Macaca fascicularis: one gene and its partners. The protein of the gene in region 1 interacts with the protein of each later gene in a pairwise test. Links are inferred from orthologs where the notes say so. Each region holds a gene or a part of one and is shown on either strand. Other genes may lie near its edges.

What was found. The genes of interacting proteins can lie anywhere in the genome.
Region 2: the proteins of TRIM27 (region 1) and ATOSB interact in binary tests that used the Homo sapiens proteins (3 or more experiments, as listed by UniProt). The link is inferred for Macaca fascicularis from reciprocal best matches to the Homo sapiens genes TRIM27 and ATOSB.
Region 3: the proteins of TRIM27 (region 1) and ILK interact in binary tests that used the Homo sapiens proteins (3 or more experiments, as listed by UniProt). The two-hybrid records come from large-scale screens. The link is inferred for Macaca fascicularis from reciprocal best matches to the Homo sapiens genes TRIM27 and ILK.
Region 4: the proteins of TRIM27 (region 1) and SPATC1L interact in binary tests that used the Homo sapiens proteins (3 or more experiments, as listed by UniProt). The two-hybrid records come from large-scale screens. The link is inferred for Macaca fascicularis from reciprocal best matches to the Homo sapiens genes TRIM27 and SPATC1L.

What each region holds. Positions count from the first base shown.
Region 1 is NC_088378.1:144,252,550-144,256,813, reverse strand, and holds the start of TRIM27 (zinc finger protein RFP), read right to left. Parts: upstream 2,801-4,264; 5' UTR 2,450-2,800; coding exon 2,030-2,449; intron 797-2,029; coding exon 701-796; intron 1-700. UniProt on the Homo sapiens protein: E3 ubiquitin-protein ligase that mediates ubiquitination of various substrates and thereby plays a role in diffent processes including proliferation, innate immunity, apoptosis, immune response or autophagy.
Region 2 is NC_088389.1:64,324,357-64,327,120, reverse strand, and holds the end of ATOSB (atos homolog protein B), read right to left. Parts: coding exon 2,663-2,764; intron 2,422-2,662; coding exon 2,353-2,421; intron 2,270-2,352; coding exon 2,094-2,269; intron 1,905-2,093; coding exon 1,727-1,904; coding exon of another isoform or gene 1,602-1,726; 3' UTR 501-1,601; downstream 1-500. UniProt on the Homo sapiens protein: Transcription regulator that may syncronize transcriptional and translational programs.
Region 3 is NC_088388.1:59,469,051-59,471,347, forward strand, and holds the end of ILK (scaffold protein ILK), read right to left. Parts: coding exon 2,218-2,297; intron 2,076-2,217; coding exon 1,966-2,075; intron 1,863-1,965; coding exon 1,735-1,862; intron 1,644-1,734; coding exon 1,522-1,643; intron 1,436-1,521; coding exon 1,336-1,435; intron 1,224-1,335; coding exon 1,093-1,223; intron 910-1,092; coding exon 760-909; 3' UTR 501-759; downstream 1-500. Other genes in the region: TAF10 (transcription initiation factor TFIID subunit 10), read left to right, coding at 68-182, 360-449. UniProt on the Homo sapiens protein: Scaffold protein which mediates protein-protein interactions during a range of cellular events including focal adhesion assembly, cell adhesion and cell migration.
Region 4 is NC_088377.1:954,694-957,718, reverse strand, and holds the end of SPATC1L (speriolin-like protein), read right to left. Parts: intron 2,073-3,025; exon of another isoform or gene 1,969-2,072; coding exon of another isoform or gene 1,935-1,968; intron 1,426-1,934; coding exon 1,274-1,425; intron 1,063-1,273; exon of another isoform or gene 1,059-1,062; coding exon 732-1,058; 3' UTR 501-731; downstream 1-500.

The DNA.
Region 1 (4,264 bases):
ATGGTGAAACCCCATCTCTACTAAAAATACAAAAATCAGCTGGGTGTGTTGGTACATGCCTGTAGCCTCAGCTACCTGGGAGGCTGAGGTGGGAGAATCACTTGAAATGTGAGGCAGAGGTTGCAGTGAGTCGAAACCTTGCCATTGCACTCCAGCCTGGGTGACAGAGTGAGACCCTGTCGGAAATAAAAAGAAAAAATTCCCATATACCCCTATCATAAATTAATACATCAGCCACTTGTCGAGGCCTTGAGAGATTGGAGGAAGAGAGCAGAGCAAAAAATTCAGAATTAAGGCATTGTCAAGAAAGGAGAATAACACAAAGAGAAGCAACAGTGGGACTTACACAAATCCACTATTAGCACTTGTCTGAAGAATGGTAACAACGCAAGCTAACTGTATCCAATAATTTTACCCATCTCAGCTTTGCCAAGGATCAACCTTGGTCTACGCAGTTAGCAGGTTAAACTATACTGACAGGTCTGATTTCCAAGGGTTCCAAACTTGGCTCCTCCACGCTTTCCCCAAAAGAAAGGGAATCTCTTAGTTCTCTGGGTGAGTTCCCACTGCCATGTGCAGTTGATCCCCCTCTACCTACAGGTTCTGGGTGACATGCTGGACAAGTCTAAGGGAAGTAACATCAGCTCTACAGAAGAGGGGAGCACCAGCAGAAGCGACTGTGAATTCCAACAACCCTTACCAAGAGTTCAGCTCGTGCCTGTTCCCCTTGGGCCCGACGTCTCTTCTTTAAATCTTTCACTCTTTTTAAATGGTCAAGCTGGTTCTGGATTTGCTCCTGAGAAAAGCAAAACAGATGGGCAGTTCAAAACTAGGTAGACCTTAGCATCAGCATGGTACTTCTAATCACACATGGAGTCCACACACCTGATGCCAAGTATCCAGTTGGCACTTGTTCTCAGGCCACACTGCCACCCACAAGAGAAAGACTCAGGGCGCAGGGGCCAACAAGCCACTCATTTGGCAATTTGTGTCTATCTTAGCAGCCTGTCGCTTCAACCACTCAGCTACCTCGTCAGGATTATTTGTGTCTATCTTAAACAATGAATCATCTACCTGTCCCTGGTAGGATATCGCATGACTTAGCGGAACTGTGACTGGAGTAGGAGGCTTAGAGTTATGTTGTATTGTAGCTCTTCCACACAAGCATACTGTGAAAGTGACTTCTTATTTCCCTCATGTGTGAAATGGGCAAACACCATCTTCCCAACCTACTCAAGAGTTCTCACCAGAGTAAGTGAAAGAATATAGCTGAAAGGTCCATAAATGTTAAGTGATTAATTACACATGAATGTATTCATATTTAAACACGGACATAATTGTGTATGAATTCCTGAAGCCCTCAACATACAGAAAATACACAGTATCATGGACTCCTTGAAGGTCACCTTACAACTGTTTTATATGTAATATTTTGTTTCCACGTTTCTGTTTAGCTGTGCCAGTTCACAGAGGGCTCTGTGCATCACATGATTCCATAATCTTCCTCATAACTGTTATCTCCTGAGTCTCAGAGTGGTTAAATGACTTAAGCAGTGAAGAGCCTGTTCTTTTCTGTGAGTTTCTAGACCAGGACGTATTGCAGGAAAGTGCTGGGGAAATGCTTATAGACCAAGGAATGGGCATCGGTCAGTTAATGTCCGACTGCGTTTTGTCTGACAGCCGACGAGAGTACATGTGTCTCTACAGCTCGTCGATGTGCAAGCGATTTTATGCACTTCTTTTATACTGTCAAAAGCATGTCTCCGTGTACAATGTGTCCGTGAGACAGGAAACATGGGGGCACACAGAGAAAGGAGAGTGGGGGTGGGGAGACTTCTGGCTCCCTCGCCAGCTACAGGTTTTCCTCCAAATCTGAGTGCTGAGGCTCTGGAGCGGACAGAGAGGAAATGACGGCTGTGAACCACACGTCCGGCTCAGCCATTTTCTAGGCGGAAAAAGGGAAGCCCCTTTGGCTCTCTCCTCCCTTTGTCCGACTCGCGTTCCCGCCCTCCCGGATCCGCGCCCTCACCTTGAAGCCCTCCACTGCCTCCTCGAGCGGCAGCACGCTGTGGCCGCGGTGCTCGCGGGAGCGGTCGCACACCACGCAGATGGGCATCTGGTCCTCCTCGCAGTAGAGCTTCAGGGGCTCGCGGTGTTTCTCGCACACGCCCATCTCGCCGCCGGGCCCCGACGGCCGCTCGGTGCGCAGCTGCTTCACCAGCTGGGTCACGTTGGCCAGGTGCCGGTTGGGCCGCATGTGCCTCTGCGGGAAGGTCTCCCGGCACTGCGGGCACGACACGTTAGTCTCTGCCGTGCCCCAGCAGCGGGCGAGGCACGCGCAACAGATGTTATGGCCGCAGTCGAGCATCATGGGCTCTGCGAAGTACTGCAGGCACACGGGGCAGGTGGTCTCCTGCTGCAGGCACTCGGCCACGCTCCCGGAGGCCATGGCGCGGGCCTGCGGGGGCTCACGGGCATGGGCCCCGGCGCCGAGCTCTGCACGGAGCCCAACTCTCCGGCGCTCTCTCCCGTTCGCTGTTCCTGGGAGGCACCGGGCGGACGGAGGGCGGTGCCTCCCGGGCCCGTATCCCAGACGCGCCCGCGCACCGAAGGCTCAGAGTGGCCGGGCCGATCCCTGCGCCTGTGCCCCCTGAGCGAGTGCGGGAATACAGCCGGCTCACAGAGACTCGCGGCCACGTTACTGGGGCAGGAACGGGTAGCCAAGGGTCAGGATCCCAGGGCCAGGCGCGCAAAGCGCGCAAGACAACGTGGCCGCGTCCGAGCGGATCCCGGCGGCCGCGTAGACCCCACCCCGGCGCGAGCGGAAGAGGCGGCTCGGGGGGCGGGGCTTGGCCCGCGCTTATAGTGTGTGACAAGATTTCGTGGCCTCGGGGCCCGGGCTGCTTTCTCTAGAAAGGCCTGGGAGGCTCCGCCACTCTCCCTTGGGCGGGTCGCGCCGAAGCTCTAGCCTAGGGGACTGGTCACAAAAGCAGATGGTGCCACACGCTCCGGGCCTACAATCTTCCGCGACTGCCGGGCCCAGGCCCCTAGTGTTTAGTTGGGTTTCTTCTTGGTGCCCAGGTCTCAGCCCCTGCTAAAGATGGCTTTGGCCGCGCGCAGTGGCTCACGCCTGTAATCCCAGCATTTGGGAGGCCGAGGCGGGTGGATCACGAGGTCAGGAGATCGAGACTATCCTGGCCAACATGGTAAAACCGCATCTCTACTAAAAATAGAAAAATTAGCCGGGCGTGGTGGCAGGCGCCTGTAGTCCCAGCTACTTAGGAGGCTGAGGCAGCAGAATCGCTTGAACCCTGGAGGCGGAGGTTGCAGTGACCCGAGATCGCCACTGCACTCCAGCCTGGGCGACAGAGCGAGACTCCGTCTTGAAAAAAAAAGAAAAGAAGAAAGAAAGCTGGCTTTATATAGGTGCTGGGGAGCGCAGACATCTGGCTTCCCCAAGAGGCTGGAGGATGAGGAGGGTCACCGTCTGAGCCCACCTGATAGGTGAGGCCTTTTATTAAACAGACCCATTTGTAGGCACTTGCAGTTTTGTTTAGAAAAAGAAAGGTTTAATTATCAGATGGTAACATTTCTGTGTGGCAATAACAAGCCCAGCTCTGCTACCTCTCACTTGTGCCCAAGCAAGTTGGTTTACCATTCATTTACCTCAGTTTCTCCTCGTGTGAAATGGGGATGATAACTGTACCGCCGTAAAGAAGTAGATTTCGTTACATCTTTTACTTTTTGAACCATAAGGTTGTTTATCCATTAAAATAGTAACAAAATGCCCATTACATAGGGTTGTTGTATTGAGGAGCAACTAAAAATTGCTTGCTCCTTTCTGAAGTATAGAGAGACTAAGAATCCTACAGTGACCCAGGGTCTTGGAGTCCCACAATACTCGTTGTCTTATCATGCAGTAGACCTCCAGCATTTTTAAGTTGCTTTCTTATCCCTTGCTTGATGTCTCCTGCTTTTCTTTGAGATTTTCTCAATATTGTCCTGCTATCTGAGCAATACGGGCTTCTGCTTCCAGACCTTACTTGATTTTTATTTTATTTTTTCAAAGTGAAAGTACGTTTATTAAGAAAGTAAAGGAATAAAGAATGGCTACTCCATAGGCAAAGCAGCCCACATCATCACTTTAGAGTTCCCCTCTGGTCCTCTTCCCCATGGGACAAGAAGTCTGAGGGACTAAGTGCACTTGCCAACCCCAAACCCACATCCACCTTGCAACCATACTCTGAGTACCCAGTCGTTCAAA
Region 2 (2,764 bases), on another chromosome or scaffold:
CTGGCGATTGGGACGAGATTTTCCCCTCCCCTCTTTCCTCAAAGACACTACAGCTCCTTCCCTCTCTTTCCAAGCAAGGTTTGTTATGCCCGGTCTTAAATACCGAGTCCGGCAAACAGCCTCAACGTTCAACCTTGTCTGGAGCACGTCACCTTGCACACATCCCTGATGTTCTGGTAGTCAAGAGACCTCCGTAGTCACCTCCATTTTACATATGAGGGCACTGAAGTTCTGAAGGGCTAAAGTCATTAACAGAACCAGTATCAGAATCCTGATCTACAATTCAGAATTCAGCTTCTAGGACTCAACTTTACCCACCAACTCCTCCGAAAGGAGCAAGACCAGGCCCCAGGAATCAGCAGGGGCTAGCCTAAGACCTCATGGGCCCAGGCCTGTTGCCTCCTCTCTGGTAGAAAGGGCTGAGTCCCAGCTCCAGGAAGGCCCTCTATCCCCCTTCGCACCCTCTCCCCAACAACAACAACAACAAAAGTAGAGCTTAGTTCAAGTTTCCAAACAAGAATTTATTCTTTCTTTTTTAATCTTTTTTTTTTCTAAAAAAAAGTACCAGGTACAATTTTTTCCTGTTTCTGATTTGCTTTGTTTTTTCAAGTTTCAGCAAATGCTTGTTCCCCTCAGCCCAGCCTCAGGAGTCAGGACTGAGGCTGGGTCAGAGTCTGGAGTGGGGAATGGGGTAATTTGGAACCACATGACTGAGTTTGAGGGGTGCCCCTCACCCCAGCTGAGGTAGGTGGGTCAGAGTCTGGCCAGGTGAGTGGAGGCACCCCAGTGCTTGGCCCTGACTCTGCCCCCTGGACACCTTCTTCAGTCAGGACCCCAAAGCAAGGAGACACAGGCAGGAGGAGAGGGACAACTGGAGTCTGGAGCCCTAGGTGAGGGGTGGTTAACCCCTGTGTGTGTGCATACATGTACACTCTCTCACACACACACACCACACAAAGACAAGCTCGTGTACACACACAAACGCCTAACTTGGCTTTCAGAGATAGGTCAGAGGGTAGGGGAAGTGAAGGGACTAGGGGAAGGGCAGGGGAAGCTGAGTCTTTGGCTACTGACTCAGTCCCTCTGGAATAGCCCCTCTTCCCTCAGCTGAGGGAGAGCAGTTCTCCTCCTACCCCCGGCGTAAGCCTCTTCAACTCTTGAGGTTGGAGCAATATCTGAGAGTGGGAAGGGGGGGGAGTGATGCCAATTATCAGGTGTGGGAGGTTACCAAGGCAATCCAATTTGAATAAATTATAAATTAAAAATAAATAAAATAATAAGTGGCCCCTGCCCAGGATGGGGAGGCAACGCTGGCATAACTTGCCTGGGAACTTGGGACAACCTCAGGGTAGCTCCGGTTCCTCCCTACCTAAGCTGGCCTGGGAAACCCAAGGGAGGGGACAGGCACATGGAGTACCCGAGTAGGGCAGGGTGTAGTAAGGATCAGAAGCTTTAAACACCCAAATAATCCATTTGGGCAAGAGCATGGTGAGGGCTTTAATTCAAGCCTGAAGGGTCTCTTGCTGTCTCTCCATATATGTTCTCTAAGATGGAGCAGGATGGGCAGGTCGTTAGGCCGCATGGATTCAGAGTGCTGGCAATCAGGGCAAAGGTGAATAACGTGGATTATGAGGGGCCTCGGTCACAGCCTGCAGTTCGTAAGGGAGCCCTGTGTCCAGCTCCAGGCTCCGGCGGGAAAAAAGCAGGCGGATATCTCCATGCAGGCTTAAGCGGCCTGAGCGGGAGCTCCGGAACCTGAGGAGGACAATGTTATCAAATTAAGAATCCAGGCTGGTCGCAGTAGCTCATGCCTGTAATTCCAGTGCTTTGGGAGGTCCAGGTGGGAGGACTGCTTGAGCCCAGGAGTTGGAGACCAGCCTGAGCAACATAGCAAGACTCTGTCTCTAAAAATAAATAAATAAATAAATAAATAAATAAATAAATAAATAAATATATACACACACACATACACACATACATAAAAATTTAAAAATAAACCAAGCAAGAATCCAAACAGTATCGAAGCAAGGAGAGATCCTCTTCAGGGAAGGGATACCTGGGCCTCCCCAGCCGTCCCTGGGCCCTCTCCTCACCTGAGGTGCAGCAAGTAGCAGAGGAGGCGGTGGGTGGGGTTAGCATTTCCCTCCTCACCCACAGGCACCAAAAAGAGGCGATGGCGAAGGAAGGTCATGTGGGCAGCAGGCATGTCCGAGAAGTCAAAGGTCACGAGGAACATCTTTACCACAGTCTGGTTGGGGTTAAATAAGGTCTGGGGACAGGACAGTCAAGGTTGGTACAGCCTGAGGGCTGCTTTCCTCTCTCCCCACTCCCACTCCCTCAGGGCAAACTCACCACTTGGATGGTGCCCACCTTGGGCACGCTGTAACCCTTCCTCCCCAGGGGGTTCAGATCCACGATGCCCTGGGAAGGCCAGGGAGCCATCAGTCAAGGTGGGGACTAGGAAAACTCTGAGCCCTAAATACATGTCCCTCTCCACAGTCTCTCACCCTGAACCTGCCCCTGCCCTACACTAGAGTTCTCCTCACCTGGCCCTGACTCACTCCTAGGTGAGGAATAAGTAAAAAATACCTCTTGCACCCAGCCCCGCCCCAATTCCTTATCCTCCTGATGAGCTGACTTTGGGGTTGGAGTCAAGGCATACCAGGAAGGGAGCCGGGGCATTTTGCTCAGAAACATCAAAGAATGTGACAGTGACAGGCAGCGTGACATGCTGGGGGCAGTATGACCCACTAGCTCCAATTTC
Region 3 (2,297 bases), on another chromosome or scaffold:
AGGTTAGTTTTGGGTGCTTGTGCAGTGTGTTGTCCATCTCCTTCTCATCTAAGTTTTTTCTCTCTAGAATTCGGCTCATCTCCCTAGCTGCCCAGAAATTCATCTCAGATATTGCCAATGATGCCCTACAGCACTGCAAAATGAAGGGCACAGCCTCCGGCAGCTCCCGGAGCAAGAGCAAGGTGTGAGGGGAGGCTCATTGAATCACTAATTACCTTCCACAACAGTGGAAGCTTATCCTGCCACCCCTTTGGGGAAACTGAATCCTAGGGGAGGTGTAAAACTTACTCAGGGTCACCCATCTGGGATTGAAGTGTGGGATTCCTGTGCTCAGTTGGTGCTCTTCCCTCTTCCCTCAGGACCGCAAGTATACTTTAACCATGGAGGACTTGACCCCTGCCCTCAGCGAGTATGGCATCAATGTGAAGAAGCCGCACTACTTCACCTGAGCCACCCAACCTAAATGTACTTGTCTGTCCCCATGTCCCCACACCAGCCTGTTTTCATAATAAACTTTATTGTGACAGGCGGGGCTGATCCCTCCCATGTTGGGAGACACCATGTGGCAAGTGACAAAGCTCTGAGCCCGCCCCTTTTGGGGCCACAGTGGTAGGGATGGGGGAAGGGGATGGACCCCATGGCTGGGGTAGTACCATGACTGGAGGCAGGGGAGGCAACCAGAGGTCTGCTGCTTTGGGGAAGTACATTCCCCCAACCATGTCCTGACACCTCTGGAGTTCAGGCAAGGGCCTTCCGGTCCTACTTGTCCTGCATCTTCTCCAGGATAGGCACAATCATGTCAAATTTGGGTCGCTTTGCAGGGTCTTCGTTCATGCAGATCTTCATGAGCTTACACACATGAGGGGAAATACCTGGTGGGATGGTAGGCCGAAGGCCTTCCAATGCCACCTGTGAATACAAGAAAAAACTGAGCCTCACAATTTGAGTCTGTCATGTAGAGAGAAGCCACTGGCCCCTGGGACAGGATAACTGTATATCCGAACAAATATGGGAGGAGCCCAGGCCCACTACAGTTATTTTCACCATAACCAACCACTCCCCCAACACAAATGTATGCTGTTCTGCTCTCACCTTCATTCCAATCTCCATATTGGAAAGATCAGCAAAGGGTACCTCCCGTGTCACCAGTTCCCACAGAAGCACTGCAAAACTCCACATGTCTGCTGAGCGTCTGTTTGTGTCTTCAGGCTTCTTCTGCAGAGCTAGAGGGATAGGGCTTGTCTGTTCTGGCCCCCTGGCCTTTCCTGTCTCTGCCCCCTTCCACTACTTCTGAGGTGATCCTTTTTCACCTCCCAACATGATGACTTCACCCACCTTCAGGGGCTACCCAGGCAGGTGCATACATGCGACCAGGACATTGGAAAGAGAACTTGACATCAGCCATGCTAATTCGGGCAGTCATGTCCTCATCAATCTGAGGAAGAGAAAACAGAAGGAGGTAAGTCATAGATAGGCAAAGGACTTTTGGGGCCTGGGCCAGGAGTGAGCTTGTGGCCTCACCATTACACTACGGCTATTGAGCGCATGTCGTGGGATGAGGGGCTCTAGTGTGTGTAGGAAGGCCATGCCCCTTGCCATGTCCAAAGCAAACTTCACAGCCTGGCTCTGGTCTACGACGAAATCTGAGAGGAAGCAAAAGTTCAAATAGTTCAGAGAGGCTCATGCACCCTCTCTCCCATTTCCTCCCCAAGAAAATTCAACATCTCTACTCACTGGTGCCTTCATGTAGTACATTGTAGAGGGATCCATATGGCATCCAGTGTGTGATGAGAGTAGGATGAGGAGCAGGTGGAGACTGACAGGCACCTAGCACTGGGAGCACATTTGGATGCGAGAAAATCCTGGAAGAGGGAGGGAGTGGTTGAGACAGAGTATAAAAGATCTCTTTCAGTGCTATTCAGGATTCCCTGGAACTAGCAGCTTCCAGGTTACGCCTTGCACTACCTGAGCCGGGGACACTCTTCATTGAAGTCCCTGCTCTTCCTTGTACTCCAGTCTCGAACCTTCAGCACCTTCACGACAATGTCATTGCCCTGCCAGCGGCCCTTCCATAGCTGAAGAATAGGTAGAGGTTAGGAGGCTTTTACTGTTGCTACCACTTCCTTGCCCTCTAACTGGAGGAAAAACTTAAACCAGGTACAAAGCAGGTAATTTACGGGGGTTTAGTGAGGGAAGGGCAAGAAGGGCAGGGGTCACCTCTCCAGAGTGATTCTCGTTGAGCTTCGTCAGGAAGTTAAGCTGTTTGAAGTCAATGCCAGAGTGTTTGTTCAGGGTTC
Region 4 (3,025 bases), on another chromosome or scaffold:
CCCCATGGTCTCCGGGGCTCCCCTGTACTCGCCCACCCCCAGCACCCCCATGGTCTCCAGGGCTCCCCAGCGCTCGCCCACCCCCTGCACGCCCACGGTCTCGGGGCTCCCTGGCGCTCGCCCGCCTGCGTTGCCACCGCTCAGTCCTAAGGCCCCGGTTCACTGTAACGCTCGGCTGTTGCTCTTTCGAATTCTTCGAATTCTTCGCTTTTGAACAAGGGGCCGCGTTTCCATTTTGCCTGCAGGGGTGCGCAACCATCCGCCAGAACCAAATCCTTACCCCAGCTTGTCATTTGGGGAAACTCAAACTGGGACAGGACTCGTCGTCCCGGGCAGGAAAGCGGGTGGGTGCGGAGGCCCGGGGGAGGGGTGGGGAGGCGGAGAAGAAAGTGGGGAGCGGGGGTCCCTGCAGCCTGCGGCTCCTTCCCGGCTTCCCGCCAGGAGCACCGAGCGGCGCTTCCTGCAGGCGCCCTCCACGCCCTCAAAGAGCCAGAGTTTGGTAAAGGCAGACAAGCAAACGGATGATTTAATGAGGGGTGACAAGCACTCCGCAGGTGCGGGCGGCGGCGGGCTGCGGTCGGGGCCCAGCGCGGGCGGGAGAGGCGCCTGCTCCGGCCTCGCGCGCGGGGAGCGCGGCCCTTTCCCCTCCGGGAGGACGCGCAGGAGGCACCACGGCCTCCGGGTTGGAACAAACGCGTTTACTGCAGGCAAGGCGGTGGGCGCGGGGCGGCTCACCAGGCGAAGAGTGGCTTGCTGTCCTCCTTGGAGAGCTCGCACAGGCAGTTGAGCAGCAGCAGCGAGTCGCCCAGGAACTTGGGGGGCACCACGTCGATGACCAGCTTGCGCAGCGCGGCCGGGCTGCTGTGCAGGGGGTTGGCGCGCAGGTCGGGCCGCTGCTTCAGGATTCCGTAGGTGTTGATGAGGAACTCGCTGAACGCCGGGTGCACGTCGCGGCTGTAGCCCAGCTTCTCCAGGCGCGCGCTCAGGGCCAGGTAGCGCTGCGTCAGCTCGCGCAGCTTCTTCTCGTCCACGGAGCCGTCCAGGGACTTGATGGAGGTCTGCGGGCGCAGCGCATGGATGGCGGAGGCGGGGGGATCTCGGGGCCCTCGGACGGGGACTTCCAGGCCCAGGGCCGACCCCTGCCCCGCCCTCCTGGGTCCCCGGGGTCCCCTCCCGCGGACAGCGCCCGGGCAAGAGCCAAGATCTGGGGGCCTCACAGGGATGAACCGAGCGCCCAGCACCCTCCTGGCCGCGCCCTCCCCGCGGGGCGCACCTGCTTGATCTTCTCGGGGATGTTGGCCACCGTGAAGCCGTAGAGCCGCGTCACGCCCGGAAACACGTAGGCCAGGATGCGGCGGTCCAGCTGGAAGGCGATCTCGCCCACCACGCGCGCGTCCTTCTCGGCGCCCGCGAAGCTCTGGATCTCTGGGGGAGGGAAGGCCGGGGACAAGGTCACGGGAGCGCGAGGATCTATTGCCCCAGAGGGTCCCCCCCTCCGTCCCCCGGCACTTGGGGGGCGGCTCCTCCATCCCCCACCCCGCCCCGCCTGCCGCCACCCCCCACTGTCTGGCAAATAGAATCTGAAAGAAAAGGAGCTTCTTAAAGTGCCAAAGGGCAAGACAGGTTTCCCTTCGCCCTGTCCTCGGCTCCCTTCTGTCCCTTTGGGACGAGGTAAACCTTTTAATCTTGAGGGTGGGAACTGGTCCCCTGTCACGGGGGAGCCTGCCCCAGCGCTGGCCCTGCGAGGACAGAGGAACCCGGCCCTGGAGGTGTGAGTTCGGACGGGTCCCCTCCAGTGAGGACGCCTGCGGAACAGGGCCAGTCGGCTTGCCTGGGAGGAAGGGGGACCTCCCCCCTTCCTCTGTCTTGGCAACCTCTGGGCCTCAAAGGCTGCTTTAATGTTTAGTCAGTAAAATGGCTTCATTCTTTCCTACCTCTGAGAAGATGATCGCTGGATTGGCAGGACATTCTTTTTTTTAAGCTGCAGTCTCACTCTATCATCCAGGCTGGAGTGCAGTGGTGCCAACTCCACTCACTGCAACCTCCGCCTCCCCGGCTCAAGCGATTCTCCTGCCTCAGCCTCCCGAGTAGCTGGGACTATAGCTGCGTGACACCACACCCAGCTACGTTTTTGTATTTTTAGTAGAGATGGGGTTTCACCATGTTGGCCAGGCTGGTCTCGAACTGCTGACCTCAGGTGATCCGCCCGCCTGGGCCTCCCATAGTGCTGGGATTACAAACGTGAGCCACCATGCCTGGCCCAGGACGTTCTATTTTAATTACTTCCTCGACATTACTTAGGAGTCTCCAATGGCCCCACAAAACCTGCTTCCAAACCCCCCTCCCCAGGACAGCCTCTGATGGCATCCGAGTCCATAACAGCACATGACCTTGTCCATCTTTTTCCTGAGGGATGGGAAACAGCATCTCATTTGCATTTCACTAACAACTAGTGATTTAAGCATCTTCGCACATGCTTATTGGCCATTTATATACTGTATCTTCTTTGAAGAAATATCTATTCAGGTCCTATAGCGATTTTTCATTGGATTGTTTGTCTTCTTACTGTTGAATTGTCAGAGTTCTTAAATATTCTGCATACTAGTCCCATTTCAAATGCACAATTTACAAATGTTTTCTCCCATTCTCTGGGTTGGCTTTTCATTTTTTTGATACTGTCCTTTGAAGCACAAAATTTGTTTTTTGTTTTGTTTTACTTTTGATGAAGTCCAATTTGTCTGTTTCTCTCTTTGCTCATGCTTCTGGTGTGCTATCTAAGAATCCATTACCAAATCCAAGGTCATGAAGATTTACCCCTATGGCTTTTCTACGAGTTTTCTGGCCTCAGCTCTTTGGGACCTTTTAGGTCTTTTATCCATTTTGAGTTAATTTTTGTATGTGCTATGGAATAAGGCCCAGCTTCATTCTTTGGCATATGGATACCTCCTTGTTCCAGCACCACTTGTTAAACAGTATTCTGTCCCTACTAAATTGTCTTGGCACTCTTGTTGAAAACCATCTATGT